Linked DNA regions of Pelodiscus sinensis. The protein of the gene in region 1 interacts with the protein of each later gene in a pairwise test. Links are inferred from orthologs where the notes say so. Each region holds a gene or a part of one and is shown on either strand. Other genes may lie near its edges. The genes, in order: SH3YL1 and SH3D19.

The links.
Region 2: the proteins of SH3YL1 (region 1) and SH3D19 interact in binary tests that used the Homo sapiens proteins (3 or more experiments, as listed by UniProt). The link is inferred for Pelodiscus sinensis from reciprocal best matches to the Homo sapiens genes SH3YL1 and SH3D19.

Annotation. Positions count from the first base shown.
Region 1 is NC_134713.1:35,443,728-35,459,762, forward strand, and holds the start of SH3YL1 (SH3 domain-containing YSC84-like protein 1), read left to right. Parts: upstream 1-7,171; 5' UTR 7,172-7,329; coding exon 7,330-7,330; intron 7,331-16,035. Other genes in the region: ACP1 (low molecular weight phosphotyrosine protein phosphatase), read right to left, coding at 1-16, 6,853-6,895.
Region 2 is NC_134715.1:54,733,941-54,750,576, forward strand, and holds the start of SH3D19 (SH3 domain-containing protein 19), read right to left. Parts: upstream 6,698-16,636; 5' UTR 6,283-6,697; coding exon 6,192-6,282; intron 5,687-6,191; exon of another isoform or gene 5,671-5,686; intron 1-5,670. UniProt on the Homo sapiens protein: May play a role in regulating A disintegrin and metalloproteases (ADAMs) in the signaling of EGFR-ligand shedding. May be involved in suppression of Ras-induced cellular transformation and Ras-mediated activation of ELK1.

The DNA.
Region 1 (16,035 bases):
GATCGGCAAATGTTCCCTGCAAAAACAAGAGATGGAACTAAAGTTTATCTATAGTAAAAGAAGCAAGACATTGGTTGTAAAGTATTGGCCAGCGTAAGTCTGCATGGACAGGATTGTAGTTCACATAGTTCTTTAACAGTTGATTTTATCAAATCCCCTAGGTGAATCCATTGCCAGTAAAGACAATGCTGCTAGAGCAATATGTTTATTTCCATCTCAGTACATGAGGGGAGTGAAGAAACTGCACCATGGAGCCTGCCACATACGGGACATCACTTGCATTTAATCCCGAATCTTGTTCCCCTTCTGTATGGTGTAATTACATTGCTTCTCCTCCCCCCACCAGAAAGACTTTCTGTAACCATAACTGAAATAGTAGAATTTTGAACTCTGTCTCAAATGAATGTTAACACCAAGTTTCTGTCTCTGTCTTTCATAGTTTTACTCAGAACAGTCTGGAAATTCTAAGGCAGCGTTTCTCAGCCCTTTTTTAAAAAAAGATATAAAGTATCCCCCCCTTTTTTTTAAAAAAAAGAAAAAAGTACCTCCAGTAGCTACAGTTTTCAGACATAACATTTTTTTTCTACCATTGCAACACATTTGTTTAAACAACTTAATTGTAGCCGAGCAGGCAATGAAAATTGTGTGTAAAAAGTACAAAAATAAAGCAGTGCTGTAAAACTTAAAAATTCAGTTTTCTCCAAATTTCAGTTGTGTTGACATACTCCCCCACGCTCCCGACTTCGAGTACCCCTAAGGGTACTCATACCACTGGTTGAAAAACACTGTTCTAAGGGACTTCATATGACTCTCATCCCCATGTATTTCCGATGCACTCACAACATATAGAATATATTTCTGACTACGATTAACTGGATGATTTGTAAAAGTTTGTTTAAAGTATTCATCTTAATCCCCAGCATGGTCCACCTGAGCTGCATTTTTCACTCTTAAAACAATCTTAAACAATGTAGAATGCTAAAAATATTTGGGAATATCACATCCTTGCCCAAATAAAATAAAATTCAATACAAATTTTGCAGACATCATGAATACAGCACATATGAAGAATGAACTATATTCCTAGAAGTGGTCTCTTCACAAAGAAAAAAGTAATGTTACTGTAGGGGGAAATACAAGCATCTATAAGCCATCCACCAACTCTTAAAAAGTGTATGGATTCTTTTCAAGGATTACAACTGGTCAGAATCTCACAGATGAAGGAGCTTAATGTCCCTCATACGCTGTTTACAGTACATAAATATGTTCCTGTTAATACTCATGCACAGCATCATTATAAAAATTAGTTTACATTAAGGATGTAAAAGATCAACTAGTGATCATCATCCTTACCCAGCATTTTGAGCAGATCCCTTTCTGCCATGGACAGGGGGCAGCTCCAGCCCCGCAAGACTTACCAGACAGGGGTGCCAGTCTGCTAACTGGTCATGAACTTCTCTCTGTCTGGCCGTGGCACATTGCCAGACCATGCCTCAAGCTTTTATTTAGCCCCCCGCCCCCACTGGAGTTCACCAGGGAATTCCCTTCCTACCCACTTATCCACGCAGCAGCAGGGCAGGTGGGGAGAAGGGCAGCTGGGACTGTGGTGAGGCTGTTTCTACTGGGGCAGTAGGACCAGTTCTTTAAATCCGGTTCTGGAATCCACAAGAGGAGAGGGCAATTCTTGTTTTAGTCCTAAGCGAAGTGCAGGATCTGGTCCAAGAGGTAAATACACCTGGACTTGGAAATAGTGACCATAATGTAATAAAATGTAACATCCCTGTGGTGGGAAAACAAGAGGACTAAAACAAGAATTGCCCACTCCTCTTGTGGATTCCAGAACCAAATTTTCATCTCTCCATCCTGTCCTAAGGTGATGTGTACGCAGTCAATATGGGAATAGTTGAAATCCCCCACTTTTATTGAGTTTTTCATTTTGATAGTCTCTAATCTCCCTTAGCATTTCATAATCACTATCACTTTCCTGATCAGGTGGTCAATACTATATCCCTACTGCTATAGTCTTATTATTGGAACATGGAATTACTATCCACAGAGATCCTATGAAATATTTTGGCTCATTTAAGATTTTTACTTCATTTGATTCTACATTTCCTTTCACGTATAGTTCCACTCCCCCACCAGCACAACCATTCAATATATTTAGTATCATAGTAGGGCTGTGTCCCATTGATTGTCCTCATTCCTCCAAGTTTCCGTAATGACAATTACAGTAAAACTCCATTGGTCTGGCATCTGATGGTCCGGCACTCCTGATGGTCCGGCACCATCAGGAACCCGGAAGTGCTCCGGGCAGCCGGACCATTGGAGCTACTCTGCCCCCAGCTTCCCTGTTTCAGCCAATGCTGAAACTGACCAGCGGCTGAATCGGGGAAGCTGGGGGCAGAGCAGCTGGAGTACTGCCTGATAGGCCCCGTAGCGCTGCCCCTCAGGGCTGCGGGACCAACCCGGCAGCAACCCAGCAGTCCCCATTCAGCCACTGCTGAAACTGACCAGTAGCTGACTCCAGGAAGCCCTGGGCAGAGCAGCTCTGCCACAGGCGTCCCCGATTCAGCTGCTGCTGAAACTGACCAGCAGCGGCTGAATCGGGGATGCCTGAGGCACAGCCGGACTATCGGAAGGGGGGGAGGGGCTATGAGGGGGTCTGTGGTGGTATCCCCCCCACACCACCCCAGACTCTTCAGCCCGGCATATCTGATAATCCGGCACCCCCTGGGTCCTAAAGGTGCTGGACTATCGGAAGTTTACTGTATATCAATATCCGCCTTTAAAACGAGGCATTCACCTATCTTATTACTTAGACTTCTAGCATTTGTGTATAAGCACTTTAAAAATTTATCTGTCTGCCATTTCCTGATGTGTTAGATTCTTTTTCATTTGATTGTCTCATCTGATCTGACCCATATTTTATCATCTTTCATCCACTCCTAACTAGAACATAGAAAATCTCTATTAATAGACCTTCCCCTAAGAGATGTCTCTGTCTAATCCATGTGCATCTCCGCACCCATCGGCTTTTACCCAGCCCTTAGTTTAAAAACTGCTCTACAACCTTTTCCATATTACATAGAACCAGTTAACCAATTCAACAGGATTTTACAGAGGTAGTTTACATCAATGCAACTTAATTGGAAATTACCAGAGTTAACTGCACCTGTGTAAACCCCATTTTAGATTTAGATGCAGTTACCCTAGAGCAAATTTCTCTAGTGTAAAGAGGCATTAAGACAAGTCATTGCTCCAGTATTTATTGGAGGAGAGTATCATTTAATGCATCACCAAATACACTTTTGGCAGTATATCAGGGCCTCCTGTTCAAATACATATCTGGGCTGACATCCTTGCTATGTGAGTTTCTGTGATCATAACTTAATACAGCTGCAAAAGCTTTTATAAAAAGGTTAAAAAAATATTTTCATGTGTGAGGAAACCAAATGACTGCATAACAGTTTTCTCCAGAAGGTATGTTTTTTCTTCACTACTTTTTAATAGTAAGGACATGTCCCCTTAATCCCTTCTACCTGAAGCAGAAAACAAAAGTGATTATTTCTACAGCTTTCATCAAGCAAAGAACTAAGTTTATATTAGTAAGCTATTGTCCATATGGCTGAGGCTTTTCAATCACTATGTAAAATATAATGTTTATTACTCCTAAACATACAGCAAGGCAGGGGTAGGCAACAAGAGACTCAGGGGGGCTGGATGTAGTTTGCCAGGGTTAACCCTGACATGGTAAAGCACGTCCAGCCTGTGGGCTGCTTATTGCCTACCCTGGGATTAGAGAATAGAGCAGACAACTGAAAGTTAGGGAAAGAACACAGGAGCTCTAAATTGTCGCATGCCTGTGGATAAAATCAACTACAAGACACACAGAATTTAACAATCTGCATGTAGGGTATAATCTGCCAGTTACTGGCACTAGGAAAATTAATGGATGAGCACCTACAACAAAAGATACTATACAAGTGTAAAAAGAATATATATATATATATATATATTTTTAAAAAGTCTACCCTTAAATTAAATAAAAACTTCAACTTGTTCTCCTTTTCTCAGTCCCAATTTCTCTTTTATGTATTTGGGTTATTTGCATTGTTGTATGTTTAATTTATAGTTCACTGAGAAGAAAAAAAAATCAGCAATGATCTAATTAGGCATGTATTAATTAGATATTTTGCTGCATAATGAATATCAGTTTCTCTTGTTATAAACAGAAAGCAGATAAGTGAATATTTGACTATTATTTTTTTTTCCGAAACAAATGCATAAGAAAACAATCTGACTGTCTGAACCCTTTTACACTGTGGAATTAACTCTCAAGAGCATAGGAGTATCTTCAGAAATGATAGGCTGTTTCACCCCTCAGACAACTGAACACTTGAATTATTGAAAGTTTCAGATATTTAAAGTGTGGATTAAAAATAACATTTATAATTTTGAATTGACTGGACTCTCAGTTTTATTCTTTGAATAAAATATTACATATACTTAATGTTAATAGTCTATCAAGATCATTTTTAGAGCACAGGAAATTTTAGACCACTACAAGTTGAACGAGGGGATTTTCCATACCAGGGGAGGTCTCTCCCAACATGGCCTGTGCTGTTCTGCTGCCTGCCTCCGCCCCAGCTAGGGCTACTGCCTGGCCCTGCTACTGCCTGCCTGGCCATGGCTAGTCAGGCTGGAACTCCGTAGCTGCTGCAGCCAGACCTAAGCTCCGCAGTCAGAGCTCTGCAGCCACAGCTGAATCCCAAGCTCTGCGGCCAGAGCTCCACAGCCATTTCCAGACCCCAAGCTCCAATGGCTGGAGCTCCACAGCCACTGTGGGACCCCAAACTCTGCAGCCGGGGCTGGAGCTCCCTGGCTGCAGCTGGGGCCAGAGCTCTGCGGCCACTGCTGAACCCTACTACCTCCTGGCCACAGGGAGAAGTCTCTGCTACACCACCCACCCCTCTGCACACATTCCCTCCCCAATGGGGCTCCCTGGTGAGTTGCCGCCCCCATGGCCAGACCTCCCTATACCTGGGCTCTCTGGTCCAGGAACATCCCTGGTCCTGCCAGACCATGGATGTTGCCAGACCAGAGAGTCCTGGTTAAGGCAGGTAAAACCTGTAGAAAAACACCACAAAACTCAACAATGGCAGAAAGAAAGCACAATTCAGTCTTAAAATTATATTTTAAATGAATGAAACTGACAGGTCAGCATTTATTACAAAAAATAAGCTCTCCCACACATCATTCAGCCTTTGTTGTCATATGACTCCAACTCTTTGGGTAACTAATATAAGGAAAACATTCAAGGGAGTTAACATTCATTACAATCATTTCAGATCAATCACTTGTTCTTTCAGACTTTATTCATCCTTCCCTGAAAATAGTTAATATGATTTATTCTCTCCATTCCCAAATTTCTCTAGTATTATTTAACACTGAGCTAAACACACAGAGCAAGCCATGTCCCTGCCCCAGAGAGTTTACAATCTAGAGGTGCTCTATTAGTGGTTATTAGCTGTTTAATTAATTGTAGACAGAAGACATTAAACTGTAATTTGCTGTGTAATGAATATCAATTTTTCATTATAAATACAAGGCAGATATGGTTTCATAACAGGTCTAATTTAACAAATGAAGACTGGCCTTCTCAAGGATCATCTTAGCTTGCCACACTCTTATATTATGATGTCAGTGTGTAGACAACGACACGATTAAGCGATAACCATAGGTTTATCAGCTAAACCTGCTGGCTACATGTATCCCTCCCTCCCTACACCATTCTGCCTCTGAATAAGAGGCAGCAAGGGGGGGGTGACGGCTTTTAAGCAGTCTCTCCACGAGCACAGGATCTGCATGCCATCCCCACTCTTGTGCTGCTGCCTCTGATAGAGAGGCAGCAGAGAGGAGAGTGAGGGGGGCAGGCAGGAGTTGATACATGCAAGGAGCCAACTCCCCCGAGCATCAACAACACAGACCCACCAACTCACCCCACCCTCCCCGGCGCTGCTGCCACTGCAAAGGCTGCTCTGCAGCAGCAGCCTCTGTTTCTGGTGGATTCAAGCTCCTCGCGGACAGAGGATGCTCTGTGCCAGTCTGTGCAAGGAGATGCTTTTTATAGATGTAGGAGCGGGACCTGGCAGGAGGTTCTCCAGGAGCGGGGCTAGGAGCTTACTAGGGCTGACCCCACTCCCAGGGACTATTGAATAGTCATGTAACCACTACAATTCAGTAATTATGTAACTGCATCAAATTACATGCTATCTAATATATATCCAATATCCCTATTTCTAAGTGAAATTCTTCTCATTTCTCTTCACTGATGTTTATCTTGTTTATTTCAGGAAATTCAGAAGTTTGTTTACAGCCTTTCTTCCAAACCTGGTGTCACACACACATGCATATTCTCTGCCCCATTAAATAGCTCACCCATAAAAACACGATAGTATCATAACCAGAACCTTCGCTGCAAACTCTATCGGGGAGATACTAAGCATGAACATGTAGCCTGCGGCTACACGTACTATGACCCTGTATCAAGGCCTCTGGGCACAGACCACAGCTCCTTGGGAGTGGAGTGAGCAAGCAGACTAGGAAGGGGAACGTGGATAGGAAAGACTCGAACTGCGTATTAAAGGAGCAGGGGGCTCCTCAGCTACGCAGGGTGCACCTCTATCCTCCCTCCATTGAGTCACTCACCTTCATCTGCTTCCTGGGGAGCTGGGGGGAACCTACTCGGGAGGGCACGGGCTCTACTCTTACCCCTCCCCAGCCCGCCCTTCCTGCGGCTGCTGCCCCGGAACGGCCCCTCTCTCCCCTGCGCGGCCGCCCCGCACTCACCCAGGCACACGAAAAGCACAGACTTCACATCCCCAGCCGCCATCTTCCTCCCCCGGCCGAACCAAAAAGAAGAAGGGTCCTTCCTTCGGGCTTCTTCCCTTTGCCAGACCGTCGCGAAAACTTCCCCGCGCTTTGCGGCGCCGCACGTTAACGGCGTCTATTGTGTGTGCCTGATAGGAAGTGAAGGTGGGGAATAAAAGGCACTACAATATTCTCGCACAGTCTGGCAAAGCCACTGGGGCCCGAATAATAAACCCATCATGGCGTTGACGTGTGTAAAAACATCAGGCACTTGTATGGACAACCCCTCTATCCCTCCCAGCTGCACCTGTCCCAGGTGAGCAGCTCCCAGGGGCCCTTCCTTCACCTTGCAGCAGGCAATCAGGGCTGCGAGATAGTTTGGGCCTGGCAGCGTCCTCTCGCCTCTTCCCAGTACTGTGCAGCTGTAGCCAGGAGCCTCTGGAAGGTGTTCCAAGAAGTGAGTATGGAGGCTGCTGTGCTTTCAGGCCGGGGAAGGGGGCCAGCCCTATGCTGGGAAAGGATCGTGGTTCTTGGGGTCCTACCTTCCCAACTCCTACTGGGGAGGTGGAAATTGGGTGTAAGTCTACACCTCAAAATTAAGTTGACTTAGATCAACCTGTGGCTATTGCAGTACTTAAAACGTTTTTGCAGGTTAGCACTTGCACCTTCTGTCAGTATTGTGCACCCTCACCAAGAGTGCTTGTGTAAGTCTTCTGCCAGGTAGCACCAGCAGCAGCCAGGACTGGGTTCAATATCTAAGGGTTCCTCTGCATCCATCCAACATAAAACTGGTGTGAGCCTCCACTCAGTAACCTGGGAAATTCACACAATACTCTATGGGTGCCTCTGAGAGGCAATGCTTCCCCACTCCAAGCAGAGAGTCTGAGTGGAGAAAAAAAACCTTTAATAAAAGGGGAGGGAACTAGTGTGTCATTAATTTGGGAAAAACACATGGTTTGTAACCAAAACCATGAGAAACAGTCCTACCCCAAGTAGGTTGGACACTGTCCTTTTCCTCTTGACTTGTTAAATCCAGCAATGTAAATGTCCCCTTCATGTGCCCAATCCTTCTCTGCACACCACTCACAATTGCTGTCCTTGGTCAGGACAAACCCAGAGTTCAGAGGTGCATCTGCAGAGTTCGCCTCTCATCCTGAGTGGGGGGAGATAAGGAGGCATCTTACTCCATTAGTCACTACCATCCAGCTGCTCTCTGCATTGCTGGCCATTTGTCTCACCTTGCTGCTGTTGCTCTGCTGGCCGCTCTTTACATCTCTCCATCGCTGTCCTGCTGGCTGCTTTTTTGCTTCTCCATTGTCACTCTGCTGGCTGTTCATCGTGCTGCCGACACTCTGCTAACCACTTGTCAGCATCTTTCACTGGCTTGTGGTGAATTTGGCTCTGGGCCAAATTTAGTGATTTCAATTCTTGGCCCAAAGTACAGTCCAGCCACAAGAAATTCCAGCATACATTAGAGTAATTTTAAACTAATAAAGAGACTCCTTATGGCATATGCTCTAGTTCTATCATTAGAATAGAGTGCAGGGGGGAACAGGTTGAACCCATCTTATAGCTCACACCTGGAGGGCATGTAGCTTGCCGATTCAGAGCATTCTACTCTTCCCCCAGATAAGGTCACAAAGCTTTGGCAGGTGAGACCTTGTGTATCCAAGGTTCTTTACACTGACATTCTCTCTCCTTTTGAACTGAGCTAAACACAGACTGACTTTTCTGCATTCCTACAATAACTGCAAGCACTGGTGATCATATCTCAAAATTCCTGAATTTAGTGTCAACACAGTTTGTGACTCTGTGACAACCAAACTGGTTACAATGAGCAAAACACTATTGTAACAGCTGAATATCTAACACATCTAAGCAAATCAGGGGCAAACTGTATTTACATAAACACATCCAGGATTTCTTTCCCGTTCCAACCTGCTGTAATGGAAGCATTGATTCAGACCCTGCTTACACTTGCAATAATTTAACTGTCAGTGTGAGGCATGATAGTGCACTGGCAGCTGGAGTGCTCCACCAGGATAGGCAGCCAGCTAGAGTTATTATTTTTCAATTTGTGATAGAAGGAATCTTTCCCTCTTCCTTCCCTGGGCAAGGCTGCTGCAACCCATACCCCTCAGTAGTTATTTACAGCATCTACAGAGAATGCATTTAGATAATGTTAGCACAGTTTTCTTAAGCTGTGGAAGTAGGAGTACTGCAGCACCTTTAGCAGGACAGAGAAGCTTTTAACTTAGATATCCCAGTGTATTGTGACTATTACTAAATGTTGCTTTAGACCTATGTGGAAAAAAAACCCCTCACAGATTAAAGAACTTTTTGGGCAACTGGCAAATCCATAAAAAAGCCCAACCACGCTGATTAAATTCCAATCAGGTGATGACCCTGGCAGCTGGAATGCTACTACTCTGAGTATCAGCTCAGCACAGTGGGCTTCTGGTCTTTTAACTGCCAGTCTGATGTAAGCAATGTAGTGTCAATGCTAATGCAGCATTGACAAAACCATATTGACCAAAATTGTCACACCTTTTTCAGAGATGAAGTTGTTCAGTCAGTATACTAGGTGACTTGCACAAGCAGGAGCAATATTGTAGTGTAGCAATTTTTAGAAATAAGCCAATATAAGACAGCTTCCATTAATCTAACTCTGTAGTGTAGACCAGGCCTAAGTTAGGTATTCCTCTTGCATCAATAGCCCCCTAAGCCCATAAATCCTGACATCAGTGTGCCATAAAAGCTAATCTTTGGGATCTGCTGGAAGGTGGAACTGGCTATTTTTTTGTTCCCTATCTTGCAAATTATACAGCTTAAATATATAAAATTTATTTTCCAATGCTTCATCAAAAACCTACAAACAAAAAATGTTATTGCAGCTCAATGCAACACTACTACAAAAAACACAGTCTATACTGGGATTCTAGGGGAGCCTGCTGAATTTCAAGTCTTCAGTTTTCATTGGAATATAGAACATAGATACTACAACTGCACCTTTAAAATCTGGCTCCAAATTTCTGATCTGACATTTTGATCCTTTGAGATTTTGGCCAGAAATTGGATAACCATATTAGTGAAATGGGGAATAAGTGTTGCCTCTCCCATTTAATCAAAATAATCTGGCTCTTAGCACTTCCTGATAAAAGCAACTTTCATGTGCTCTAATTTGATAACTGTATTGGGCTGATTGAAATAATCTTGATCTGCACTACCATCTTCTAGTTCTGTTGCCTAAATTTAGTCATGGTTGATAAACATTTATTTTTTTCTTTTTCAAAATAAACCTCTTTAAAATGTGAAAACGTGGCAACCTATATTAAGGACTAAATTCACTATAATCTGTAAAAAGTAATTTGAACTACATTTTAAAAAAAACATGCTTCCTGCTAGTTCTGTAACCTTTAGTGGAAACCACTGGCTAAGGACCTGGAACCAGGTTTGGGTGAACACCTGCTTTTGACTGCAGTAGTCTCTTCTGCAGGTGAATAGACTATATTTTCTTCTTTATTCAGCTAATTCATTTAAATTAAATGATTAATTCATTCAAAGTTGAAAAATGGATTGGGAGTTAAAAAAGAAAAGCTTGTTTTTCTTCTTGTAATATGTGAATAAAAATGAGGTGTGAGAAGATGAGATTAGCTGGAGTTCAAATCTTGAAGGACGTGCTGACTAGAAACAACCTTCATTGGCTTTTGTTTGAGTTTATGACTTGTTTACATGCTAGACTCCTTGGCCTATTCAGCAGGCTATTCAGTAGGCAATGTACAGAAAGTCTGTTTATCTCTACTGGCTTTCAAGTCTATGAAACCCCCCCCCCCCCCCCAATTCAATTAATTAACTACAGATAGTTACTTTATTTAATGCATTAATTAGTTTTGATAAATTTAGGATTTCCCCCCTTATTAATCATGCATATTTTAGGTAGTTTTTAATTAAGAAAATAAAATTGAACAATGCTGGTTTTGTGCATTTTTAATTGAATTTCAAATGCATATTTCATTTCAAAATGAAATAATCATAAAAATATTCACAATTTTCAAACATAACAAATGTTAAGATTAGGGCTCTCCATTAATCACAGGTAACTCGCACAATGAACTACAATTAATTACACTGTTAAACAATAGAATGCCAATTGGTATTTCTTAATATGGATATTCTAGGATATTCAACATATTTATAAATAAATGATCTGGAGAAAGAGGTAAATAGTGAGGTGGCCAAATTTGCAGATGATCCTAAACTGTTCAAGAAAGTTAACAAAGCAGATTGTGAAGAGCTTCAAAATGATGTCACTGAACTAGGTGATTGGGCAACAAAATGAAAAATGAGTTTTAATGTTGATAAATGCAAAGGAATGCACACTGGAAAAACCAATCCCAACTATACATACAAAAGGATGGGGACTAATTTAGCTGTAACCACTCGAGAGAGCTCTTGGATTGGATAATTCTCTGAAAACATCCACTCTGTGCAGCAGCAATCAGAAAAGCAAACAGAATGTTAGGAATAATTAAAGGGGATAGAGAATAAGACAAAGGATCTCTTATTGCTGCTATAAGTCCATGGTACACCCACATCTTGAATACTGCATACAGATGTAGTCACCTCATCTCAAAAAAGATATATTGGTGTTGAAAAAGGGTCATAAAAGGGCAACAAAAATTATTAGGATTTGGAATGGGTGCCTTTGAAGAGAGATTAAAAAGACTAGCCTTTTCAGTTTAGAAAAAGAGGAGATTAAGGGAGGAATATGATAAAGGTCTATAAAATCATGACAGTTATAGAGAAAGCGAATAAGGAAAAGTTATTTATTTGTTCCCATAACGTAAGAACTAGGGGTTACCAAGTGAAATTAATAGGTAGCAGGTTTTAAACAAACAAAAGGAAGTTTTTCTTCACACAGTGCACAGTCAGCCTGTGGAACTCCTTGCAAGAGGATGTTGTGAAGACCAGGACTTTATCAGAGTTCAAAAAAGAACTAGGTAAATTCAAGGAGGTTAGGTCCATAAATACTTATTAGATTGGGTAGGAATGGCATTCCTAAACTTTTTGTCAGAGTCTGGAAATGGATGACAGGAGAGGGATCACTTGATGATTGTTCTGTCCACTCCCTTTGGAGCATCTGGCATAGGTCACTGTTTGAAGACAGGACACTGAGCCGGATGGACCTTTGTTCCAACACAGTACGACTGTTTTTATGTTTTTCTGCATCTTCAAATATATTAATTTATATTCCAATGCAGAACAAAAAGTGTATAGTGCTCACTTATTATAAATATTTGCACCGTAAAAATGATTTAAAAAATATTGGTTGGATATCCCTGTTCCGGCACCCTCAGGATCTGACCAGTCCCAAATGAGAGAGATTGCCAGACTAGGAGAGGTTCCCTCCCGATGCAGGCTTGCCATCCTGTTTTACTCTTCCCTGCTGTCAATGACAGTGGATCCCCAGCTGCCACTGGTCCTGTTGGGAATTCCCCACGCTGGGGATCCACATCACCCTCCCTCGGCCTGCAATAAGTGCCCCAGCTATGAGCTTTTTCATTCAGCAACGTTATCAAGGGCCATAATGGATTCTTCATCACTGACTATTTTAAATAAAGATTAACCATTTTTTTGTGAAGTAAATGTTGTAGCAGTTATTTTGAGAGAGTTCTGTGGCATCTATTGAAGTGGAGGTCAGACTTGATCAAAATGGTCCCCTCTGCCCTTGGAATCTATGAATTTCTGTAGTGGAAGTAATCTCTCATAAACTTTGGCAGTGAACATCTACTTCTCTGATATTTTTAATATAATTCTAATCATTTCAATATATTGTGTTAAGCTTAAATCTTAATGTAGGCTGTCAAATTTAAAACTAATGTTTAAAAGTTTTTAACATCCTTAATTTATATTTAAAAATCCAATTTATATAAACATATTTTAGCCTGTTTTCAACTGTGCTTCTGTTCTGAAAATTTCTGTCTAAAAATGTCATGGTCATGATTGGCATATGTGTTAGCATGTTTCATATGAAAATCATTTTATGTTTGTAAGTAAACATGTTTTTGTAACTGCCAGAGCTGCAAAGTCAACATGGGACCTTAGAGAAAAGTTAGACTTTATTCTTCTTTAGCATCATCTGCAGGCCAAATAAGGTTTTTAGTTACACTTGCTCAGCTCAATTTCTTTCAGTGGAGCTACACAGATGCTTCTGAGTGCTTCTTATACAAACTGTCTGACTCACTAGTTCCTCGGGAACGTAATGACTGTTTATCTCATATATTCTAGTTAATTAAAAGTAAGGAAGCATCACATAGCTTATTAGCTTAAACCTGAAACTTCTCTATGTACTGTAAACATATATTATTTTTCTTAAAAAAACCCAAACAAACCCAAAAGTGCCCCATACAGCTGCAGTGGTATCATTTTACTCTGTTCTGTTATCAGCTATCATTTAGAGAAATTATCCTAGGAGGATGAGAGAAAATTCAGTTGGTATATTAAGGGGTTTGTTTCAAGCTATTTTGAATACAGAAGCTGCTAGGAGCTGAGATCACCAAATCATATTCATAATACTTTTTTCCTCTGTATTATAATTGTTAAAAGTCAGATTTGCCTGAGAGTTTTCTCAAAGCTAATAGTATATTGGATGGAACATTAATATGAAAACAAGTTACCAAGTGATGAATTGTTTGGATGAGCTAACTGCCTGCCTTAAGTGAGCAAAGTACAGGTTGTACCTCCCTTAACTGGGACTTTCTGCTCCAGCAGCATCTGTAGTCTGGAAGGATCAAGGATGTTTCTGGACGAGAGAGCCCTGGGACAGGAGGCCCAGCAGCTGAGAGCCCGGAGGGCTACTGGTAGTGGGGCTAGAGCTGCAGAGCTGCAGCAGTTCAACTGAGGCCCTGGCAGCTCAATCAGCAGTGCAACCTGGCAGAGGTAGCCTGGCCACAGCCACTACAGTGCACCAGGGGCTACGTGCCACCCAGCAGCAGGGCAGGGTCACTTGGGCAGCATTGGGCTGGGGCCATGGCAGCCTGGCAGGGAAAGTCTGGTTGAGACCACAGCAGCTTGGTATCAGAGCTGGTGCCATGTAGGGTTGCCAGATGGTTGAAACAAAAATACCGAACACCACCCCCTCCAAAAAAACAAACAAACAAACAAAAAAAAAAAAACACCGGAAAAAAATTCTGTTGAAGGGAAGAAAAAGGGGGGGGGGGGGGGGGGAGGAAAGGACTCCAAGAACTTAAGCCAAAAAATAAAATAAAATAAAACAGCATTAAAACAGCATGTCCCCTTTAAGAGTGAGTGCAAGGATAGGAACAGGGGAGCGGTGGAGCACTAAGACCCAGGGGAAGCATTGCTTCCCCTAGGTCTTTTGGCCGGCAGCCATTTTGTGCCAGCAGCCTTGGGGAACCAAGTAAGCATGGGGGCTAGGGCCCGGGAGTTTGGGGGGGAGGAGGCCAGATGTTGAGTGTTTGTAGGGTTGTCAGGTGACTGGCATATTCGCCTCCTGGCCTGGGAAAAATTCAGAGAATACCGGACATCTCCGGTGTCCGGTATTCTCTGAATTTTTTTTAACGGACAGGAGGTGAAAATACCGGACTGTCGGGATGAATACTAGACACCTGGCAATCCTAGTGCCATGGCTTCTGCCGCCTGGCAGTAGCGCGGAGAGTGCTACCTCAGCTCACCAAGCACACCCCTTCCACCTAAGATCCCACCCCTTCCAGGGCTGGCCTGTGACCACTGCCAAAATTGGTGAAGTGTCCCCCTGTGACAGGGTGTATCAACCCCGCACTGTAGCTGATTGGCTCAGCTGGATCGGGGCCAGTGTAGACGCTCTTTTCCGGCTTTTCTAAAAGCCGGAAAAAAGCGGCGGACATTTTTATTTAAATGCCGCGGGGGATATTTAAATCCCCCGCGCATTTCCCTACTGCGATTTCAAAAATTACCATGCCCCTTCCAGAAAAGGGGCCAATGTAGATGAGCCCCTATGGTCCAGCATGATTTTAGTTTGCCAGGTATCCACTTAACATGAGTGTGGCCAAGTTTCCTGCGGTACCATAAAATTTGTTTACAGGTTTTTTTGTTGATGCCAGTCCTGGCTCTCAGTGTTCTGTGCTGTTGTTTAGCTCTAATTTACCCCTAAATTTCTTCTTTTAAGGCAATAATTTTTTGGAGGGGGGGCACACCAAGATTTTGGTAAGTGGTCAAGGGCCTCGCTTTTCTTTAGAGGGAGTGCGTGGTCTAGGTTGGGTGCAGAAGGGCACACAGGGTAAGGGACTGGGGTACACAAGATGGTGTGAGGTCTGAAAGGGTGTTTGGGTGGAGGTGGGGGTTGTGACCTGGGTCAGGGGATTGGGGTGTAGGGTCAGGGAGAGCATGTGGGTGCAGAGGATTCTGGCCTTGAGGAGGGGTGTAGAAGGTTTGAATGGTGATCTGGGGGATAGAGTTCGGTAAACTCCTCCCAGCCTGCACCTGCCTCTGGCACCCCAGCCCCTCCTTCACCCTAAGTGTCAGGTGGGGAAAGAGGCTTGCGCTGTTCCCCTCCTCCCCCCCACCCCCCGCCGTCTCTCAGGCCAATCTCTCAGCTCCAATTGGCTGGCTGTTTCCAACCAATAGGAGCTGAGAGATTAGTTGAGGTCAGTTCTTATTGGCCAGTTGTCGGGCCAGTAGGAGCTGAGGAATGGGCTGAGGGTAGGGAGATTGCACAAAGGCTTCCCCTTCCTGCAGAGCAGAGAGCCATAGGGACTGTGTGTTACACGCGGCAGCTGCGTGCCTGAGGGTCACAGCAGAGGGGTTCACGGGACAGATCCACAAATCCAGGCCTGTTTATGGTTGAGCAAGTGAATATTTTGCCCAGCTCTGTTCTAAGAGCTACTGTGGCAGCCAGAGCCCCAGACCGCTTTGAATTTCCATGGGAGAGCTGGGGCCTAGAAGGGGGTAGAATCATAGAATAATAGGACTGGAAGGGACCTCGAGAGGTCATCGAGTCCAGCCCCCCGCCCTCAAGGCAGAATCAAGCTCCGTCTACACCATCCCTGACAGATGTCTATCTAACCTGTTCTTAAATATCTCCAGAGAGGGAGATTCCACCACCTCCCTTGGCAATTTATTCCAATATTTGACCACCCTGACAGTTAGGAATTTTTTCCTAAT
Region 2 (16,636 bases), on another chromosome or scaffold:
CTGTATCCCTAGAAAAGGGAAAAAATGTATAGGCAGGTGTGTTAGACCAAGCTGGATGAGCAAGCATCTCAGAGAGGTGATTAAGAAAAAGCAGAAAGCATACAAGGAGTGGAAAATGGGAGGGATCAGTAAAGAAAGCTACCTTATTGAGGTTAGAGCATATAGGGATAAAGTGAGAAAGGCTAAAAGTTAGGTAGAGTTGGACCTTGCAAAGGGAATTAAAACCAATAGTAAAAGGTTTTATAGCCATATAAATAGGAAAAAAACAAAAAAAGAAGAAGTAGGACCGCTAATTACTAAGGATGGTGTGGAGGTTAAGGATAATCTAGGAATGGCCCAATATTTGAATAAATACTTTGCTTCAGTCTTTAATGAGACTAATGAAGAGCTTAGGGATAATGGTAACATAACAAATGGGACTAAAGATAAGGAGGTAGATATTACCATATCCGAGGTAAAAGCCAAACTTGAACAGCTTAATGGGAGTAAATCGGGGGGCCCAGATAATCTTCATCCAAGAATAGGAACTGGCACATGAACTTGCAAGTCCATTAGCAAAATTTTTTAATAAATCTCTAAACTCAGGGGTTGTACCATTTGACTGGAGAATTGCTAATATAGTTCCGATTTTTAAGAAAGGGAAAAAAAGCGACCCGGGTAACTATAGGCCTGTTAGTTTGACATTTGTAGTATGTAAGATCCTGGAAAAATTTTTGAAGGAGAAAGTAGTTAGAGACATTGAGGCTAATGGCAATTGGGACAAATTACAACATGGTTTTACAAAAGGTAGATCGTGCCAAACCAACCTGATCTCCTTTTTTGAGAAAGTAACAGATTTTTTAGATAAAGGAAATGCAGTGGATCTAATCTACCTCGACTTCAGTAAGGCATTTGATACAGTACCACATGAGGAATTATTGGTTACATTGGAAAAGATAGGGATTAATATGAAAGTTGAGAGGTGGATAAGCAACTGGTTAAAGGGGAGACTACAGCGGGTCATACTGAAAGGTGAACTGTCAGGTTGAAGGAAGGTTACTAGCGGAGTTCCTCAGGGATCAGTTTTGGGGCCAATTTTATTTAATCTTTTTATTGCTGATCTTGGCACCAAAAGTGGAAGTGTCCTAATAAAATTTGTGGATGACACAAAGTTGGGAGCTATTGCCAATTCAGAAAAGGATTGGGATATCATACAGGAGGATCTGGATGATCTTGTAAATTGGAGTGATAGCAATAGGATGACATTTAATAGTGAGAAGTGTAAGGTTATGCATTTAGGGATTAATAACAAGAATTTTAGTTATAAGTTGGGGACACATCAGTTGGAAGTAACAGAGGAGGAGAAGGACCTCGGAGTCCTGGTTGATTATAGAATGACTATGAGCCGCCATTGTGACATGGCCGTGAAAAAGGCTAATACGATCTTGGGATGTATTAGGCGAGGTATTTCCAGTAGGGATAAGGAGGTGTTAGTGCCATTATACAAGGCATTGGTGAGACCCCATTTGGAATACTGTGTGCAGTTCTGGTCTCCCATGTTTAAGAAGGATGAATTCAAACTGGAACAGGTACAAAGAAGGGCCACTAGGATGATCCGAGGAATGGAAAACCTGTCTTATGAAAGGAGACTCAAGGAGCTTGGCTTGTTTACTTTAACCAAAAGAAGGCTGAGGGGGGACATGATTGCACTCTTTAAATATATTAGAGGGATAAATACCAGGGAGGGAGAGGAATTATTTAAGTTTAATACCAATGTGGACACAAGAACAAATGGATATAAGCTGGCTAGTAGGAAGTTTAGACTTGAGATTAGACGAAGGTTTCTAACCATTAGAGGAGTGAGGTTCTGGAACGGCCTTCCAAGGGAAGTAGTGGGGGCAAAAGATCTATCTGGTTTCAAGATTAAACTAGATGGGTTTATGAAGGGGATGGTTTGATGAGATAACATGATCTTGGTAACTAATTGACCATTCATTATCAGTGTGAAATAGGTCAATGGAGGGATGATAGGAGTTACTATAGAGAACTTTCTGGGTGTCTGGCTGATGAGTCTTGCCCACATGCTCAGGGTTTAGCTGATCGCCATATTTGGGATCGGGAAGGAATTTTCCTCCAGGGTAGATTGGCAGAGGCCCTGGAGGTTTTTCGCCTTCCTCTGTATCATGGGGTACAGATCACAGCTGGAGATTCTCTGCATCTTGGGGTCTTCAAAGTATTTGAAGGCTTCAATATCTGAGATATAGGTGAGAGAATTATTCTAGGAGGGGTGGGTGAGATTTTGTGGCCTGCACTGTGCAGGGGGTCAGACTAGATGATCATAATTGTCCCTTCTGACCTTAAAGTCTGAGTCTATTTAGAAATAACTTTCTCTTGCATAAAACTTTTTTTTTTGCTGATATAAATCTCATAAAGCTTAATCCTGCCACGTACTGAACTGAACACTTTCTGCATGGTGCCAAAAGGACCTCCTTGTCCACCTAATGTTTCAATGAACATCCAAGCAGCTCATAACTGGGCAAGATACGGCCCCATAATTTCAAAAACAGACATAGTTTATTATTCTTAGGACCATTGTACATAAAAATGGGAATGCAGAGTTTTCTCATATAGGATTCATAGTTTCTTTGGTGAAAGAGATGGTTCTTTGTAAATTTCTAGCACTCATTTCAGAGTTGGATCAACCTATCCCACACAAACATACCCCAGCCGTTTTCTTAGTTGTACATTGACACGTGAGATTACATGTTTCTGATGCAATCTTTATTTTGTTCTACTGAACCCAGCTTTTTATCAGGTTCCAAAGCAAGTCACCACAAATTTGTCATAGGAGTGTTTAGAAATAGGGCTGTTCTCAGCTGGATCTAGAGAAAAATATACAAGTTATGAATTTGTTCTGTTGCCTAAAATTGACCAACTGATATGAAGAAATTCTACAAACCTGAGTGTCAAACATCTGAAAAATAATAATAAAAAGAAACAGAGTAAGAAAAATCGTCTAGAAAAGCGATTGGTGCCTGTAACAAGAAACTTATTTGCCACATTTATTGTCAGCCACCCTTGTGCGAATAAAACCATTTTCAGGAGTCCCATGAGAATCTTAAAAACATCAAAAACAACTTAAGTAAAACCTCTCTAATCCACACTGATGATGGCATGATGCATTACAAATAACAGTAATATGTGGTTAAGCAAATGAACAAAACAAGGCCAGTATTAAAAGTCAAACCTTTCCTGTATTACAAAACACCTATAACCAGGGGCAGATGACCATTTTGCAGGGCCCAGGGCAGCCCAATTTCGCGGGGCCCCCCTTTGCCACAGCGCATGCGCGGGGCTTCTTGAAGCACGGGGCCCGGGGCGGCTGCCCTGCTCGCCCTGCCCTATATCCGCCCCTGCCTATAACATTACCAAAATACAGCAGCACAATCATGACAGCTTTTTACTATTAACTGGATAAGCCCAATTACTAGGGTGACCAGATGTCCTGATTTTATAAAGACAGTCTCCAATATTTGGAGTTTTGTCCTATGTAGGTGCCTATTTCTTCCCACCTCCAACCCAATTTTTCACACTCATTATCTGGTTACCTTATCAGTTACTGATTTTCTTGAGTGGTGAGGCTGGCAGCCAGTCAGCTTCAGCCCCACTCTCGAGAAGACCTCTGCCACTCCACACTGCTGAGTGTGGCGGGAGCTGGTCCATGAGGAGAGCCAATTTAAAAACCAGCTCCCTATGTGGACCAGCTGCCTCTTGCCCTGACCTGCTGCCTCTGGTACAGAGGTGGCAACAGTCCCTGACCAGGGGGAGCCTGAGTTCCAACTTGCGCTGGGTCCAGGAGCTGAGCCAGGGTGCCTGCCCACTTGGCTCCTAATACACTTTAAATGCAGAGCTGCAGCAGGGGTAGGTCCTGGACCTGGCACAAGCCAAGACTGAACCAGGCTTCTGGCTAGCCTGCTAACAAATTTACTGATAACGGGGAGGGAGGGAAATGCGTGTAGCCTATAGCATTGACCTAAAAGCTTTTTGCTTATCAGTTAATTGACTACCCTATTACATCTCTAGCTCAGACATTAAATGTTGTAAAGGTTGCACCTCCCTAAACCAGGACTCTCTGGTCCTGCAATATGCGTGGTCCAGCAGGACCACAGATGTCCCTGGACAAGAGAACCCCCCCACCCCCCCAGGGAAGGAGGGCAGAGCTGAAAGCCCTGCACACGGGGAGGCTGGTGGTAGCAGGGCCAGGGCTTTGGCAGCCCGCTAGCAGGGCCACAGTAGCAGGATAGGTAGCCAGGACCAGGTGCTGCTCAGCAGTGGGGCAGGGCTGCATGCCGCCATGCCATCAGTAAGACTGGGGCAGACATTCTGGCAGCGGAGCTGGGGCAGCTGTGTTGCCTAGCTGGCAGCCTGGCCAAAGGAGCTGGAGGCGGGGAGAGGGGGCAGGCTAAGGGGGCCGGTGGCAGGGGCCCTCCCCGGTCTGGCAAATTCCCTCATGCATTAAGTCATTATACTAGAGTAAAATAGGTATAGAACACCACTAAAACAGATGGTAGCAATTTACACTCCTTTTCACTAATTATTAGCAACTATACAAAGTATAGGGCAATAGAGAATCAAATCCTTTATTTTTTCTATTTTTTAAAACACGTTTCATATCTTAGAAGTGAACTCTGGGATCAAATTTAGTTCCAGAATGAGAACACACACAATTTTACAAAATCTAAGATCAACATAAGTGTTTTTCTAGTTAAATATGCATAAATAAATTATTCCTATCACACAAAATGCCAGAGCAAGGTTCTAAAACTGATGTATATAGCTAGCTTTGTCAAATGTAAATTACTAATCAGTTTCTATTGTCAACAATGAGAGAAATGCAGAAAGAAAACAAACACGCTGAAAATTAAAACCTGATTTTAAAAGTTCTTTCAATTTTAATAATAAAGTTAATTGAAACAAAAGGTAGTGGATATTGTATGGACAGAAGCAATAAATAATATATCTGCCTCCTGAAGGACTTGCAAAAGATGCTCATCACAAAAGATCTTTAACTAATGACTGAATTAGAAGCTACGTGGATAATTTATTATTGGGCTGTATTGGTTCCCTTGGCTTATTATATGAAGAAGAAAAAAACTTATCCTTGCCTTCAAGGCTCCATATAAATCTATTGTAGTCTAAACACTGACCCTTTATCTTATCTCATTCTCTTACCCTTCTGTTTCCTCAGACTTCCAAATATGTCTCACTTGGTCTTCTGGCTTTCTCCCCATCACTACCACCTAGATCCTTTTTTTTTTAATCTGAGGAAGTGGGTCTGGCCCACGAAAGCTCATCATCTAATAAACCATCTTGTTAGTCTTTAAAGTGCTACATTGTCCTGCATTTTGCTTCAGCTACCCCAGACTAACACGGCTATATTTCTATCACTATTCACCTAGATCCTGTTTGTCAAGCCCTATTGTCATTCAAATTCCTTCTTAAATCACCTGGTGGTGTAGTTTAGTCCCGTTCCTATATTGGGGCAGACTATTCTGGTATGAACACATTTATACCAGTTATCTAGGTTAGTTAAATCAGTAAAGCTTTTATGTATAGAAAATCTACAACTTATTTCTTCTGTGACGCCTATAAAAGTATTGAGTCCCGTTTCCTGGACTGCGCAGTACCTACCATCTTCCCTGAGACTGCAAGCTCTTCAGGACAGGGGTTGTTTGCCAACATGTAGGCCTACCACCCCAGGCTGGCAGACCCTTGTGCCCTGAGGAGCTTCAGTACAGAACAGGGGCTTGGTGATCCTCAAGGCATTTTAAGGATTAATCAATAGGATTTGCACTTAACCACCCACTGGAAGCTGGACCTTGCACCTTTTCTCTGACTAATGAGCGGGTGCTTTGACTCATCAGGGAGATAAGCGTTCAGTAGAGCCTGTCCAACTAACCCTGCGCTTACATGACTGTACCTTGCCCTGACTCCCCTCCCTCTTCCCCTGACACGGGGGATAAACTCACCATCGCCAGGGAGGGTTTTAAACAAACTCTGAAGGGCGAAAAACCCGCATTTGTTAGTTAAGGCTCAGTCACAGATTAACACAGTTTTGCTCCGTCTGCCCCCCCCCCCCCCGCGCGTGCACTCGCTAGCCTCGGGCCTGAACTCCGGGGGCCGGCGGCTCCCCCGCGCCGCCTCCTGCTTACCTGCTGCAGAGTTCAGGTTACCCCTGCGGTGCCTTCTGCCGAGCTCCCTCCGCTCCTCCTCTTCGTCCTCCAGCCTCCAGGCTTCAGCCATCAGCCAGGGGTCAGGAGCGGGGCATTTACGAAGCCGGCACCCCCATGGGCCAAGCGACGGTGGGGGGAGGAGGAGTTCTTTGTCTCGTGTGGGGAGCAGCGACCGTCCCAGCGCTAGGGCCTCTGCCCCGGCCACCCCACTCTGCACCTGCGGCTCCTCTTCTGCCCCGCGCCTCCCTGCGGTCTCTCTCCTCTTCTCTCCGCCTCTTTCTGCTCAAGTTTAAGCAGAGGCACCCAGGATCCTCTTTGGGCTTTTTCCTCGCCTCCCTTCCCCAGCAGGCGCGGACCGGGGGGAGAGGGAGCCGCGCACGCACTACCTGGCTGGGGAGGGAAAGTTAAAGGATAATAAAGGGAGGCGGCGTTTGCTTTTCCTGCCCATTCACAATATTCCGGTGTCAACAGGAAACTCCGTTGCTGCCCGACACTAAAACAAAAGGAGGAGGGGGAGGTACCTGGAGCAGAAAAGCAGCAATCAGGCCTGCAGAATGCGAAGGAGGCAGCGACCTCTTAGCTGGGCAGGAAGATGGAGTTGCACTTGACAAGGCTGGAAAACTTTTATGTAAGGAAAAGGGACACGAGTTTTTTTTTCTCTTGTGGAGCCAAATTATTTTCAGGGCTGTCTCAAGCTGATACCATTTTGAAGGAGGGAGCGTTCTAAACAGTGCAGCATTGAGTGGGATTTTCAATGTTCCTTCAAGAATGCAGCACATTCTTCCTCACCAGTGGGAAAGACCTTTAAAACTGCTTGAAATAAGCTCAAACAATCGCCACTGTTCAAATGAGACTTGGCTGATTTATGGCTCCAGCCCTATTGTTGAAACAGCATGCTGAGATATACCCAGTACAATCCCACTGAGCTGTGTGTGGCAACCTAGGAGAGGTGTAAATCAGGACAGAAAAAAAAAGAAGACTGGTGCCTGAATATAAAGCAACTGATCTGTTTTAAAGGGTTTGCTGTCTTTGAAAAAAAATTGCACTTTCACATTAAGGTGAATTAAGTAGTAAAGTATGAGCAGTCTGTGGCATCTTAGAGACTAACACATTTATTAGGTCATGAGCTTTCGTGGGTAAATTCATGACATAATACATTTGTTAGTCTTTAAAGTGCCACAGGACTGTTAATTGTTTTTAAAGTTACAGACCAATCCGGCTAGCCTCCTGAGACATTTTAAGTAGCAAAGGTTCTCACTGGGAAAAGTACAAGAAGTTAAAAAACCTACTCTTCTTATTAGTGTGTGTGTGTGTGTGTAACATGTCTCAGGTGGCACATGACCAGCATTTATCATTGAATTTGGTCCACAGGCTGTGAAAAAAGTAAAAGTTGCTTACGTACCAATATGATAGGCACCATATCCAAGAAATGTCCAAGCAATATATTTTTTGGCTTCAGATAATTATAGGCTGAACAAAGTAGTGCTGCCTATAATTAAGGTTACTTGATAGATGGGTTATGTAGTGAAAGAGACAAGATACTGGACCACTGCCTCTGCTTCTTTTGTTGCAGATATGGGTAGGTGTCTATTGAGTAAGGCAGAGAAAGAAAGGATGGTCTTGTGATTAATGACTCACGGAGAACTAGACTCCCTCCCTGTCACTTCCACAGAGTTCCTGTTAGGTATGTTGCGTAGACAACTATATGACTAATAATAAGCCTATGCTTATTGATTAATCTTGTTTACTACACGCTTGTCTCCACCCCCCTTGCTGCCTCAGTATCAGAAGCAGCAAGGTGGAGAGAGAGAGAGCCAGTGCCTGTGAGGAACTGGTTTAAAAGCCGCTTCCATAAACACTGGATCCACCTGCCCCCCCTTACCTCCCCAGTGCTACTCCTGATAGGTTAGAGACGATACCTGCAGGGAGCTGGCTTTCAAACAGGCTCCCCTCATGTGCTGGCTCTGTGGACCTACCAGCCCCCTCCCATACTGCTGACTACAGAGGCAGTGGGGTGGGGCAGGTCATAAAAGCCAGTCCCCCCCAGCACCAGCTCTGTGGTACTGCATGCCCCCCATCCCGGCCCTCCCCCCCTACACACACACGCACACACTGCAGCAACTAGGGAGGGGGCGGAAGAGACGGGAGGTGCCACGAAGCAGCCTCTGTCCTCGAGGGGTCTAAGTTCCTCATGGACAGAGACTGCTGCCACCACGCACTTCTGTCTCTGTATCAGAGACAGCAACGCAGGCCTGCAGACAGACAGTCTGCGAGGGGAGCTGGTTTTTAAACTGGCTCCCTGCACAGACCAGCCCTGCCTGCCACTCCACATTGCTGCCTCTGATACAAAGGCAGCAGCGCAAGGTGGCAGGGAGCTCCCTTGGAGTGGGGTTAGAAGCGCATTGGCTGCCAGCCCTGCCCCTGGGGAATGTTAAATAGTTGTGTAACTGCTAAAATTTCATTTGATTACATGACTATTCAATTATATGATATCTAACATCCCTAGTTCCTGGATGATGCCTGGAAATTACTTTAAAGCAAACCTTTCACAGTTTGTAAAGGAACCATTCAGTGCATAAGATGCACACTACTTTTAGTAGTGTAAGCTGAGAACATGCTCCTTTAGTCGTGGAGATCGGGAGCAATCCCGGATGATTGGAAAAAGGCAAATGTAGTGCCCATCTTCAAAAAAGGGAAGAAGGACGATCCAGGGAACTATAGGCCGGTCAGTCTTACCTCGGTTCCTGGAAAAATCATGGAAGGGATCCTAAAGGAATCCATTTTGAGACACTTGGATGAGAGGAAAGTGATCAGGAATAGTCAGCATGGATTCACAAAGGGCAAGTCATGCCTGACCAATCTGATTAGCTTCTATGATGAGGTAACTGGCTCAGTGGACATGGGAAAGTCAGTGGATGTTATATACCTTGACTTTAGCAAGGCTTTTGATACGGTCTCCCACAATATTCTTGCCAGAAAGTTAAGGGAATGTGGATTGGATAAATGGACAGTAAGATGGATAGAAAGATGGCTAGAAGGCCGGGCCCAGCGGGTAGTGATCAAGGGTTCGATGTCAGGATGGCGGTCGGTTTCTAGTGGAGTGCCCCAAGGTTCGGTTCTAGGGCCGGTTTTGTTCAATATCTTTATTAATGACCTGGATGAGGGGATAGATTGCACCCTCAGCAAGTTTGCAGATGACACTAAGCTGGGGGGAGAGGTAGATACGCTTAAGGGCAGAGATAGGGTCCAGAGTGACTTAGACAAATTGGAGGATTGGGCCACTAGAAATCTCATGAGATTCAACAAAGACAAGTGTAGAGTCCTGCACTTGGGACGGAAGAATCCCAAGCATAGTTACAGGCTGGGAACCTGCAAACTGGTTGCAGTGTTGTTGTAGTGTGTTGGTCTCACGATACAAGAGACAAAGCAGCTGAGGTAGTATTTTTATTAGACCAATTTCTGTTGATGAAATAGACAAGCTGTAAAGCTATACAGAGCTAAAGGAGAACCTGATGAAGCTTTAAAGCTTTAAATATGCACAAACAGTTGATGTATCCTGGTTGCGTTTATAAAATCACTGTATCATAGAGTGCCTCAGTGGACGTGGAATCCACCATTTGCTGCCAGGATATCTCCAGATCAGGGTTGAGGGAGGGTGGGTCATCACCCATTCAAATGGGAGCACCTTGGAACAATGGGTTGGCTGAAGGTGGGAGAACAGGTTTTCTCCAACTTCTCTGCAAGAGATTTTTAAAGAGTGGAATTTCCACAGAAGCAGAACAAAAAGGGGTATTAATATTGTGTCTTAAACTACAGAGCCTGAGAGAGGTAGAAAAAAGATTCACCTGTGGCACAAAGGGACAGCTTTTGGAGAGAGAGGGATATTTTGATAGCAGAATCAGCCAAGGTTAAAGGATGCTGGCTGGGCTCCAGAGTGGGAAGAGATAGAGCAAGAACAAGCACATGCAGACTGATTGATTCATGGGGAAGAGAAGCCTGACTTTGAGGAGTTGAGTCCTGAAGAGGGGAACTGGAGCTTTGAAAAGACACTTTTGTGTTCTCTAATAAAGTAAAGAGTATTTGGTTTTGGAAGTCTTTGCATAGCCTGTGCCTGATTGTTTCCGCTATCATGCATTCCTGAAGAGGTGATTTGCAAGCCAGCCTGCATAAGTGCTACAGTAGCACTGCACTTTAGTGAAGATGCTGGACAACTGTGACCCAGCCTCCTGGGGTAGCTAGATCACTTCCCCCCCCCCCCCCCCGTCTGTCCCCCTCCACTGCAGGAAGTCAGAGCATCCCTATTGCAGCTCTGGAGGTGGGGGTGAAACTTCAGCCCTGATGCACCTGGTAGCACAGCTCAGCACCCACAGCCTCTGAGCAATGACCCCAGCCCTGATGCTGCAGATGGCCAGGTGCACAGTCACCGGTTGGAGTGGTTGCTGCATCCCCAGCACAGGTCTCTGGGCGGCTAGTCCCAGAAAACTGGGTGGCACAGTGTAAGCACCAGGCAGGCAATGTGGCCCCAGCACCAGCCACCCTGATTCCCTGAGGGAGACATGCCAGCCAGTCCCAGCCAGCCTGGGCTGGCCAGGCAGACTTGGGCATCTGTGAAAACCAAATGGGGCCATAGTAGTCTGTCTGGAGAGGCACAGCTTCCCCCAGCTATAGTGAAGATGCTCCTACACCAATGAAAGAACATCTCCTGTTGGTGTTTTTAATCCACTACTACCAGCTCTCCTAGCTATCTTTGAGACACCACCGACTTCCTGAAGAAACTACAGAACATCAGCAATCTTCCTGAAAACACCATCCTGGCCACCATGGATACAGAAGCTCTTTATACCAACATTCCACACGAAAATGGATTACAAGCAATCAGGAACACCATCCCCGATGACCGCATTGTTCTCCTGGTTACTGAGCTCTGCGACTTTGTCCTCACAACCACTTCCGATTCAGAGACAATTTGTATCTTCAAGTCAGCGGCACAGCCATGGGCACCCTCATGGCCCCACAACATGCCAACGTCTTTATGGCTGACCTTGAGCAACGTTTCCTCAGTTCTCGCCCCCTAACACTCTTATTCTACTTACGCTACATTGATGACATCATCATATGGACCCACAGGAGAGAGACCCTTGAAGAATTTCACAGGAATTTCAACAACTTCCACCCCACTATCAACCTCAGCCTGGATAAATCTACAAGAGAAATCCCTTCCTTGACACTTCAGTACAATTAAATTATGGGCAAATTTCCACCACTCTACACCGGAAACCTATTGACCACTACACTTACCTTCATGCCTCTAGCTTCTATCCCAGACACATTTCTCAATCTATGTATACAGCCAAGCCCTAAGATATAATAGGATTTTCTCCAATCCCACAAAGACAAACACCTACATTTAATTTGGCAGTGTTTATGCTCCTTTCTATTTACCTCACTAGGATCTGACTTCCACCAAACAATGGAGGTGCTAATTGTTCTTATCAGCCTCTTGTAACTTGAACAATATATTCACTATCTTTTTTCTCCCTTTTTTTAACTTCTCCCCTGCCCGCCACCCCTTCCCTTATTTATTCTTGGATCTGGACTTTTAATACTCTAATCATCTAAAGAAGTGGGTTGTGCCCATGAAAGCTCATGATACCATCTACATGTTTTGTTAGTTTTTAAGGTGCTACTAGACTATTCGTTGTTTTTTAATTTTTTTCTGTGAGGGCGTTAGCTATGTCAACGGGGGAAGCTTTCCTGTCAACATAGTGCTGTCTATATGGGGATTCGATTGGCGTAACTATTACTCTGGGATGTGAATTTTCACACCCCAGACAGACATAGATCTACAATGTCTAGATATAGGTCTATATGTAGATTTAGTCTGACTGTAGCTGCTCTGGTAAGCCCTCTTCAGAGAAGCAAGATCGTGGCGGGAGAAGTCTGTAAATTGGATTCATCATAACTTTGAACAAGCCTAGAAAATTCTGTTCATATTTCCATTAGAGACCAGGAGCACACATTTATCTTTACCATGTAACAAATGTTGCACATGCACGGCTGTGTAAGAAAAAAGTGTACCATAGTATAATAACTTATTCAAACCTGTATTATTCACCACAACTTACATACTTTAGTCTTCCACAATGTTAAGTGATGAAAGGCCTGTAAGGGCGTGTAACTAGGTAAATATGCCTTAGTACTCTCTGCAGAACAACTATAACTTGTTATCTTTACAACTGTAGGCGCCACTGAGATCTTTTATTTTGATCCCTGTCCCTGGAGATGGTACTTTATACGGCCATACAAAAGTAAGCTGTTCTTCCACTGAAATATTTTTGCTAAAGAACTGCTCATGTGGTCAAATATCAATTCAGGTTTTCACTTTAAAGCAGCTGAAACCTGGAACAAGTGCATCGATATTTGGACAGGATCCAAGTTCCCTGACAACCAGAGAACAACAATAAGTGCTTTTGTAAAAAATGTAAGGAATTAAATATAGTTTTCAACAGGGGAAACATAGCTCCTAGATACTAAAACACATTTCTGTTCTGATCAAAGATATCAAGAATGTTCCCAATAGACTGACACAGAAAATACAAGTAGATAATAGATTGCTGAGAGTGAGGAGCTGATGACTTTACTTCCATTTGTGTTCATTGGGTAGCTGGATCCACTGGATTTTGATGTAGCTGAAAAATGATATACAGCTATCCTTCAGGCCCCCTTGAAATGTCTCCAGTTAAGACTGGTTCCCTTGCATCTTTTTAATCGATTGTGGCTACCTCCACCATCATGACAAGACTCTGAAAGTAGGGGTTTTATAATCCATAGAGTTGCTAAAGTTTAGAAAATTAATTTTCTGAAATAGAGTAATAGTGTTTATACAGTGAAGGAGTTGTGAGAAAGTAGCCTCAAAGTGTAACCACAAACCTTGTACTCAGGGTTCTACAAATGGGGAGTTACATATGATATATTAAAGAAACTAGTGTAATGCAATCTACCCGAAGTCCTACAGCCAAGCAAACAGTGGATGGCAACTTGGAATTCTTCAGTAACCTTTACAGAATGGTTTTTATCAGTTTTGTATTTAGTTCTAGGAGATATGATTGTTTACTGCCTTGCTTTTGACCATCAAGGTTTTAGAATCACAGAATACTAGAACTGGAAGGGATCTCAAGAGATCATCAAATCCAGTCCCCTGGCTTCACGTTAGATGTTTGTCTAACCTGTTTTTAAATATCTCCAATGATAATTCCTCAACCTCCCTAGGGAATTTATTCCAGTGCTTAACCACACTGACAATTTGGAATGTTTTCCTAATGCCCAACCTAAACCTCCCTTGCTGCAATTTAAGCCCATTGCTTCTTGTGCTATCATCACAGGTTTTCCCCCTCCTCCTTGTGACACCCTTTTAGGTACTTAAAAGTTGCTATAATTTCCCCTCTCAGTCTTCTCTTTTCCAAACTAAACTAAGCCAATTTTTTCAGTCTTCCTTCATAGGTCATGTTTTTTAGACCTTTAATCATTTTTGTGGTTCTTCTCTGGATCCTCTCCAGTTTCTCCACATCTTTCCTGAAATGTGGTGCCCAGAACTGGACACAATACTCCAATTAAAGCCTAATCAGAACAGAAGAATCATTTCTCGTGTCTTGCTCACACCACTCCTGTTAATGCATCCCAGAACCATGTTTGCTTCTTTTCCCACAGTGTCACTCTTTTGACTCATACTTAGGTCCACCATGATCCCAAGATCCCTTTTTGCAGTGGTCCTTCCAGGACAGTCATTTCTCATTCTGTATGTGTGATGCATCATAAACTTTCTATTGCCATCTGAGCCAATAAGAAGTTTTCTTAATGCTCCTTTTTCTTTCTCACTAGAAAAAAATGACATATCTATTTAAGTTTTCAGTACACTGAAGGAGGAAGAATTTTCATGTTTATGTGTAGATTAGTTCCAGCTCAATCATTACAGTCCCATGGGCAAATTATTTAAGTTCCCTCAGCCTGCATTTATCAATTTGTAAAATGGCAATAATATGACTTACCTCCCAGGGGCAGTGTGATATTTATAGAATCACAGTGGACTGCACAGTTAAATCTGTAAAATTATGTAATTCTAAACCACATTTTGACCCCTTCTTAAAAATTCACAGACTTGATCTATGCAAAAAGTGAAGTTATTGCAGCTAATCTAACCAGCTGTGGTAAAAAAGAATGGATTTCAACTTATTTAAAATTATTCTAACTCATTTTGTGCAGCTGTGATTTAAAAATGACTTAACCTGAAGATCTTAGAATTGTTTGATACACCAACTTGCAATGAAAGCTGGAGTTTTTCACCTACTCCATGTGGGTAATAAAGCTACTAAAAACATGGTAGAACTTTCCCTTGGGGGTTTCTCTACTGTAGTGTGGTTCCACATACCCCCTCTTAGTCTCCAAAATATGTGGGAAGGAGTTTATTGAACGTGGAGTACAATCAGGATACTCATTTACTCCTCAGACATTCACCTGCCTGAATAGCCTCTTGGTTTATCATCTGTTGAATTTAGAAGGCCTGCTCTAAATAATGTGCTGGATCCACTCCAAGCTTGGTCTAGGATTACAGAACCAGTAAGCTTCAGAGGGGTAGCTGAGTTAGTCTGTAACAGGAAAAATTTAAAAAACAATAAATAGTCTAGTAGCACCTTAAAGACTAACAAAACATGTAGATGGTATCATGAGCTTTCATGGGCAAAACCCACTTCTTAGATGATGGGAGCATAATAAGTCCAGATCCAAGAATAAATAAGGGAGGGGGGGAGGGGAGGAAGAAAAAGAGAGACAGTGATTAGATAGTGCAAGTAGTTTCAAGAGGCTGCTAAGAACCATTAGCACCTTCATTGTGTGGTTGGTTGTTTAAGTCATTGAAAGGTAGAAGATAGTGTGTGAGCTATCCTATATCCCAGTTCAGAGGATTAGAATTAAACTTGTGAATGAAGTTAAGTTCCAGTCCTTCTCTGTGTATTTGGCTTGTAGAATTGGTCTGAAACAAAACAGCGACTTGGAGATCCATTAATGAGTGTCCAGGAAGATTAAAGTGTTCTCCAACAGGTTTTTGTGTATTGCCTTTTCGGATATCTGATTTATGTCCATTAATTCTTTCCCGTAGAGACTATCCAGTTTGGCCAATATACATTGCAGGGGGGCATTGCTGGCATTTGATGGCATAGATCATATTAGTGGATATGCAGTTAAATTAGCTTCTTATTTGGTGGCTTATGTCGTTTGGGTCCACTGATGAAATTGCTGATATAGATGTGCGTGCAGACTTGGCATCGGGGCTGATTGCAGTGGTGTGTTCCTGAGTGATTATGATGGAGGTGTGTTGCGTGGCTACTGGAAAGAATTTGTTTTGCAGCTAGGGGGTTGTCTGTAAGCGAGAATTGGCCTGTCCCCCAAGGCCTCTGAGAGTAAGGGGTCATTTTCTAAGATAGATAGTAGATGTTGATAATGCATTGGTAGGGTTTAAGTTGTGGACTGTAGGTGAAAAGTGGAATTCTGTTGTTTTCTCTTCTGGGCCTGTCTTGAAGTAGTTCATGTGTGGGTACTTTTTCAGCTCTGTCAATCTGCTTTTTCACAGTAAGATCATGGGAATGTCTTCTTTGCTATACTGTCCATCTTCACTTAAATAATTCAGAGTTTAGATCTATACTTGAGCTAGTGAATTCCAAAGCATATTATGGATATCTGAAGCCTAGATATTTTTTCCTATAAATTCAAGTTTAGTATGTAGGAGTGACTTGTATATTAACAGAGGATATTTGCATATTTAGATATTTGCAGAAGAACCCCACAGATATGAACTCATTGGGAATAAATGTTCTTCAGAACTCTAAGGTGTTATGGCTGTTCTTGCAAAAGTTTACAAACTAAATGCCAATGTAATAGTTTTGAAACATTACTATGCAGAAGAAAAATGCAGCTTTTAATCAGTTTAATTTAAATGAAGTAAGCACAGAAAGTTTCCTTACCTTATCAATTTTTAAAAAACGTTCCCTTTTTTTAGTAGTTTAAATTTAACTGTCCTGTACTGTATATGCTGGGTTTTTGTTTGTTTGTTTTTCTATTGCTGACTGCATACTTCCAGTTCTAAATGAGGTATATGGTTTTGCAGTAAGTTCATAGCCCCAGTGATTGTAATGATTAAAGGTCTAGAGAACATGACCTATGAAGGAAGACTGAAATAATTGGGCTTGTTTAGTTTGGAAAAGAGACGATTGAGAGGGGATATGATAGCAGTTTTCAGGTATCTAAAAGGGTGTCACAAGGAGGAGGGAGAAAACTTGTTTTCCTTGGGCTCTGAGGACAGGACAAAAAGCAATGGGCTTAAACTGCAGCAAGAGAGGTTTAGGTTGGACATTAGGAAAAGCTTCCTGTCAGGA